Drosophila melanogaster: one gene and its partner. The main gene of each other region encodes a partner of the protein of the gene in region 2 in a complex. Each region holds a gene or a part of one and is shown on either strand. Other genes may lie near its edges.

Region 1 (3,754 bases), on a different chromosome or scaffold from region 2:
CCACATTCTCGTCCTGCTCCTCCAGTTGGACACCCACTTCATGCTCGGCCCGCCTCCGCTGTCTGCCCGCCTTGTGCGACTGGCGATGGATGGCGAGTGAGATGCGGCGCTTGAAGGACTTGCCGCACTGCTCACAGCCGAACGGTCGCTCGCTGCTGTGGACGAGCATGTGGCGGTTGAGCTCGGATGTGCTGCCGAAGCTGCGCTTCTGGCACACCGGGCACGGGTGGGGCTTCTCCTGGCTGTGGCAGCGCTTGTGGGCAATCAGATTGCTCGAGTAGCGGAAGCGACGGCCGCAAATGTCGCAGCCGTGCGGCTTCTCGCCCGTGTGGGTGAGCATGTGCTTCTTGTAGCCCGACTTCTGTGTTAGCCTCTTGCCGCAGATGCTGCACTCGAATGGCTTGATTCCGCTGTGGATTAGAAGGTGTGTGCGCAGCGAGGACGCCTGCCGGTAGACCTTGAAGCAGGTGGGGCACCTGTTCGGATTGTTACGATCGTGCAGCGTGACATGGCCGTCGCGGGCGTTTCGCGTCTTAAAGGACTCTCCGCAGATTGTGCAAACGTAGGGCGTGGCCGTGCCATGTAGCTGCATATGGTACTTGAAGGAGTTGTTGGTGCTTAGTTGCTTGCCACAGATCTAAAGGAATGGAGGGAGAATTGATGACCTTCGGCTTTGAGTTATTTGCGAGCTGCGATGACCAACTTACTTTACACTGTAGGGAGGGATTGAGGGGTTTCCAAGGCCGGCTTCCACTGGGCAAAGTTTTCTGCGTCGCCGAAGTCTGTGCTGATTTCTCCACAATCTCGTAGACATCTTCGCCAGCTTTGGCCTGCAAAACGGGCTCCACTTGGAGGCACTCTTCAATGCAGTGGTCGTTGTCTTCTTGGCGAATTTTTGGCTGGCCATGTAGCCTCATGTGGTACTGAAAGGTCCGCTTCCTAGCCAGTTGTTTGCCGCAAATCTGCCGAAGATGGGAAACTATTTCGTGATTACTTACTTCTAATTCGGAAAGGCAACTCACGGGACATTGCAGCGCTGGCTCGGATCTTTCTAACCTGCTCCTACGTTGCTCCGGATCCGGATCGTCGACAATCTCGCAGAGATCGTCTTCGTGCTGTTCCAGTGCAATATCCAGCCTCTCCTCCTGTACAATTGGCGCTTCCAGCCGGCTCTCCGCCTCATCTGATTCTACGACCAGGAGTTGCTCCTCATCTCGTATCGTTTCTGCTGGATATTCAGTCACTTCCTGGTCATCGAGCACGAGTACAAAATCCTCCGGAATCTCGGTTGACAGCCTGGCCCTAGTATTCACCGCGCTGATCTTTTTGCTGCGGCAAAAGTCCGCATGACTCTGCCGCAGAATTCTGTCCATGCGATGGACACTCCGCTTGAATTCCAGCGAGAGCCGCAACTTGGCCACGCAGTCCGGGCAGATGTGGTGGGGCAGGAAGAGCTCCGCCTCTAGGATCTCCAGACCGCTGCAGTAGCTTAAAATGCTGGCCAGCGTCGCTGGTTTGCCGGAAATTGGATCGTCGAGCGGTTTGAAGAGCGGCAGGCAGCGCGGCGATGCTGTGTGGCACACGCGGCACAAGGCGTCCATGGGGGACGGCGGCGACATGGTCGTCATGGATTGAACTCGACAGTAGATAATACACGTTTAAATAAATAACTTAATTTAGCGTCCCGAACAGTGATGCCAAAGTCCAGCTGATGCGTTAGTGGTGGCACTCAAAATAGCTAGCCAGGCACATCAGCTTGGAAGTGACCAGAGGCACAGTGGCTTGGTGGTTGGTCAAAGGTTGTGTATTTCCATATTATTTAAAATATTTTAATTTAAAATTTTCTTAATACTGTGATTAGTCAGATTGCCGGAGGCAACATATGTACACACGCAGTTATCTGCAAAATCCCGCCAGATTTGGCTTGAAAATCGCCGATCTATACCTGCTGAGAGCCACGTGCTAAATGTACTAACGCCTGGTGCCGCCTGGCAGTGGACAGTATATAAAATCCCTAACGCCAACGCCGTGCCGGTGGGAAGTTGAAATTTTTGTTGGAATTTTTTATAAGTAAAAAGTCGCTGCCATCCGAGCAGGACTCGTGAACGGCTCTAGGACTCGATATCGGGAAGGAAGGGGGAAGCATGAGCATGAGCATGGCACCGGCCACCGTCCTCCAGTTGCTGCGCGGCCTTAGCACGCCGCGTCTTCTTACCCACATCCACCAGCACCGCGCATTGGGTAATCACTACCACCACTACCACCAACACTACCAGCACCAGCACCACCTCCTCCACCACCAGCAGCAGTACCTCCGACTATTCACTTGCACAGCACTGCCAGCGGCTGCTCCGGCGCTCTTCTCGATCCTGCACACAGCGCGTGGCTACAGCAGCACAACCAGTAAGTGATTCACGGTAGAGTCCTAAACAGTAGAGTCCTAAACATTCATCCTTGGCCACTTTCGTTTCGCAGAGCAGGAAGCTGGAGCCACTGGCCCCAATGATGCGCCCGAGGTCGCACCGAATGCCCCGCTGCTGGCCAAGCTCTTTCCTCAGACCTCGCCGGAGGTGGACAGCAACGCCGAGCAGGAGCGCAAGAAGCGCGAGGAGGAGGAGGAAAAGGAGAACGAGCGTGCCTGGAAGCGCATGAAGCTGGGGTAAGCTGACGCCCATTCAATGCGTAACAGTATTATAACAATACTTCCTGCTGCAGCTTTGCAATATTCGGAGGCAGCGCCGTGGCTGCTGGATTCTGGGCCGTCTACGAGTTCGGCAAGCCCGAGGTGGACCCCAACGGGCAGCCCATCGAGGACGAGTTCACACACAAGCCGCTGGTACAGCAGTATCTGCAGCGGATGTGGAAGAGCATTCACTACTATCAGCGCATGATCCAGGAGCCGTCGCGCGCCAAACTGCTGCCCGATCCGCTCAAGCCGCCGTACGTGCAGCCGCGCTACACGCTTGTGCTGGAGATGAAGGACGTGCTGGTGCATCCGGACTGGACTTACCAAACTGGCTGGCGCTTCAAGAAGCGTCCCGGCGTCGACCACTTTCTGGCCGAGTGCGCCAAGGACTTTGAAATTGTCGTCTTCACCGCCGAACAGGGCATGACCGTGTTCCCCATCCTGGATGCCCTCGATCCCAACGGCTACATTATGTACCGCCTGGTCAGGGATGCCACGCACTTTGTGGACGGCCATCATGTGAAGAACCTGGACAACCTTAATCGCGACCTCAAGAAGGCAAGTCATGCACAACGTATTTTCTATTGCAATCATCTATAAAGAAGGGAGTATTTTAGGTGATTGTTGTGGACTGGGATGCGAATGCCACCAAGATGCATCCGGACAACACATTCGGCTTGGCCCGCTGGCATGGCAACGACGATGATGGCCAACTGCTGGACCTTATCGCTTTCCTAAAGAGTAAGTTGCGCCACAAGTGACATTGAAAGCTAAACACTGACCCTTGCAATTCGCTACAGTAATTGCGCAGAACAACGTGGACGACGTGCGCGAGGTGCTCCACTACTATCGCCAGTTCGACGATCCCATCAACCAGTTCCGGGAGAACCAGCGCAAGCTGGCCGAACAAATGCTGGAGGCGGAACGCATCGAGCAGTCCAAGACCAAGCCAATGGTCAAACAGTGGTCGCGCAACATTCTCGGCCGCTAGGAGGCTGGCCATACCGCACAACCCGTTCCATACGCATACCTTAACCTTCCGCCTGCGCCGGAGCAACAAACACGCCC
Region 2 (3,454 bases):
ACCCTATTTTCCCGCCCGAAATCGTAACGGAAATTAGTTTTGCCAATCAAACGGGAACGCAATAATAGGGAAAACTGCTCTTATGTGAGTGCAGAAAGAGGAATGTAGTGCAGAAGAGATGTTTTAATAAAGATAAGCACTAGCAACCTTTTAAAAAAAAGGAACGATTCAAAGTGTAACTTAAGAAAATCTAATGATATATAGTAGAGTACCCTTGATTTAGCTAGTGAGAAACTTCAATATGTTGTTGGCATATCGATTGAAGTAGCAGACAAAAACAAAATAAATAAAATCCATTTGTCTGTTACACACTTTTCTAGGAATCTAGTAGAATCCACTGACTCCACGGGTGCAGAAACAAGCATTATAAAGTGGAATATTTAGGCTTAGATATATTAAGGTTCGAGTTTCTGGCTTGATCAAAGGAGTTTTGTAGGAGGAAACCCCAAATAAGTTTGGAATTTCAAGTATGGAGCTTTGAAGCACACGCGCCTCCCAAAAAGCCACCACACTTCGGCTGGACTTCAGACTGTCTATATAAATATGCCGAAGCAAAATATATTTATGATTCTAAAACTTGCACTGTACGACAATTGAATTTAAATTGAAATGGGAATGCCGCCAGTATCAGATTCGAACAATCAAAGCAATCTTTTATAAATTGGTATGCAATCGTCGATCCACGCGTTCGCGGATGGATAGCGACGACTAGGCGATGACGCAGCGAAGAATTCTACAATGCCGAAGAGTCAATCTGGAATTAAAGAGTGTGAGTGGCGGAATTATTGAGGCGTATTATTGCGCAGGGGATTTCACTTACCTCTCCATAAGTCGCTGCGAGTGGAGAAACGCCCTTTTGCTGCCGTAAAAGCTCCTGCTTATACCGTTGCTGCCGCTCCACGGGCGACACCTGGCGGTAGGAATCCGCCGAATAATGGGACACCACAATGCCCACGCCCTCTATTAGGGCCAATAGAGCCCCGCCCACCAAGGCACTACTGAGCATGGAGGTTAGTCCTGCCAAAAAGAGGAATAAGCAAAAAAGTAAATATTCGCATATTCGTGCGATAATAGCCATAAAGTTAAGCAGAAAGAAAAACAAGGCAAAAAGGATATAAGGATATAAAAGTCCTGAGAAAGCATTGAAAACCAGCCTGGTTTACTAATTGTTAATGCATTTGTCTGAAAAAAAAAACTTTAAAACTCACCAGTTCTAGCAGCAAGAATGCCCCCGGTGGTTGCTCCACTAATTATGGCGTTCCACGGGTCCTCCTTCTTCCGGAAGTAAACCAGTGAGCAGTCGATGGCGCTGAAGGTAGCGCCCCACACCGCAAAGTTACCACCCACCAGGCCGGATCGAGCCCGTACCGCCGCCAATCCTCCGCTCAATCGGTATCCCAGGCCGGAGGGGGCGTTTCGAAAGCCCTTGATCGCCTGGAAGGCTCCTCCGCCCAAGGCGCCCATTGCGAAGGCTCCACCACAATCCTCGACAATGCGAAAGGGACAAGGCTCCCGACCGTACTCCGCCATGTCAGTTGATTATCGGACTCAGGAGAGTTCAGTCGATAAAATTGATGGGGTGACAGACACACACAGCAGAATAGATGGACAAGTCAAAGCCTCCTTGAGAGCGATTTTCAATTCAAAGTTTCATTAAAAAACTTTTAAAGCAAATAGAAAAAATTACATTTTAAAATTAGAATCAGTAATTAGAAGCACTCGACACGTGTGTTATTCCTTACAAATTACTTATACTTCATACTTTTCCGATTTAATTCTATCGAACACCTAAGGACAAGTCACATGAAAATCGTGACTTCTCGCCAATTGTTTAAAGGCTGATCTAACAAAAAACAAAACAGATCAAAAACCGTTTAAAAAAACATTTAAAATGCGTCGTTTTGCCGTATTTGGACACTCGCTGATCGTCAAGATAATCATTACAAAACGATAGCAATTGCACAACAAAAAGGTTGAATAAAAAAGGCAAACGGGCTGCCAATAAATAAATTGTTATTACCCGGTTATGGTCACAATTCGAGCTGGAAATTTGTAAGTGATAAGGATCGCAACAGATTGCGCTCCGATCGCTACAAGCCCAAATATTCCATTCCCAACCGATTTACAACCACTCTCCCACTTTTCCAGGAGCAAATCGCGCAGCGTGGATCACGGCCTTGCGGCTCCATTCGACTTGGACTCGCTCCGCTCCAAAGTGGAGCAGCGCTTCGAGAGCGTCGACAAATTATCAAGTAAGTCACTATTCAAATAAGTATAATTTAATTAGACAGACTTAAACCGATGGAGAATCTTTGGTTAGGGCAGCAGATGGATGCAGAATTATATGAAAATCATTTTGTATTTCTCAAAACAAATACTTATTTCGGGAAGGATCCTTGCTGAACCCCGGCTTAAGCCCCCTGTATCCACTCACTTTCAATTAAAATAGTTCAATTTAAACTTATATGTAATATGAATGTAAAATTTGTGTAGAACTCGTAGGTTCCTCAAGTCAACGCTAGGGTATTCTGCCGCCAGGTGTCGCTCATGCTCACACTCTATGTAAAATCGATGTATTATTAGAAAAGTGTACATATTGAATCAAATCAGCTAGCAAAAAGGGTGTTTTTTTTTTTAATTCTACAGTATTCCGATTCCGATATATCAGAACAGATTGTACTTTGCGCGTTACATTCAATTTTAGTGCCTAAACCAGAGGCATTCTTAACATAATCATAAAATAATTTTCATTAAAAAAAAAAACATACTTACTTACTGGCATTAGTTTGAAGTTGATTCAGGGAATTGTGCGCCAACCGGGGGGTACCTATAAACAAATTCTTATCGCACCTCCCGTTTGAAAGTGCGCGCCAAAGCTAACAGCGCTGATAGTTGATTACATGTATGAATGTAATTGTGACAGTTCGAGAAAACTGATGAGCCCGCAGTTTTAACGATACAAAAAAACCGTATGATACAGGGCTAGAAATGGTGGAATTGATTGAGATATACTGGCACATGCCAACCAACGAGTTCTCGGTTATCTACCACTGCCGGCAGCAGGTTCCGCCCACAGGTGTGATCTGCTCGCACTTGCGACCCGATGGCGACTCTTTCGAGGTCTTCCAGCAGCGTGCCCCGAAGAAGCACGATCCTCCGAGTAAAGAACTGCGAGCACGTACCTCCAGCGATACGATGCCATTATTAATTATGATTTCTTTTCGTTCCGCAGGGCAAAAGTCTTCATTGCCCACCATACCCACCATTTCCTACACCGTGGGCAATCGCGACACCCTGACCTCCGTGGCCGCCCGGTTCGACACCACGCCCTCGGAGCTGACCCACCTCAACCGGCTGAACAGCTCCTTCATCTATCCGGGCCAGCAGCTGCTGGTGCCGGACAAGAGCGCCAAGGACGACGCCTCCAGCAGCTCCACCCACGACGCGGACGGTG

The links. Proteins that work in one complex are often made in the same cells at the same time.
Region 1: Tim17b1 (region 2) and ttm50 share a complex: the UniProt entries of both Drosophila melanogaster proteins name them as parts of the TIM23 complex.

What each region holds. Positions count from the first base shown.
Region 1 is NC_004354.4:2,730,439-2,734,192, reverse strand, and holds the start of ttm50 (tiny tim 50), read left to right. Parts: upstream 1-2,002; 5' UTR 2,003-2,144; coding exon 2,145-2,403; intron 2,404-2,475; coding exon 2,476-2,659; intron 2,660-2,715; coding exon 2,716-3,244; intron 3,245-3,303; coding exon 3,304-3,427; intron 3,428-3,486; coding exon 3,487-3,677; 3' UTR 3,678-3,754. Other genes in the region: CG2712 (uncharacterized protein), read right to left, coding at 1-637, 708-962, 1,023-1,628. UniProt on the Drosophila melanogaster protein: Essential component of the TIM23 complex, a complex that mediates the translocation of transit peptide-containing proteins across the mitochondrial inner membrane.
Region 2 is NT_033777.3:5,298,268-5,301,721, reverse strand, and holds Tim17b1 (Tim17b1), read right to left. Parts: upstream 1,578-3,454; 5' UTR 1,531-1,577; coding exon 1,209-1,530; intron 1,018-1,208; coding exon 821-1,017; intron 755-820; coding exon 734-754; 3' UTR 536-733; downstream 1-535. Other genes in the region: mtd (mustard), read left to right, coding at 2,149-2,252, 3,233-3,454. UniProt on the Drosophila melanogaster protein: Essential component of the TIM23 complex, a complex that mediates the translocation of transit peptide-containing proteins across the mitochondrial inner membrane.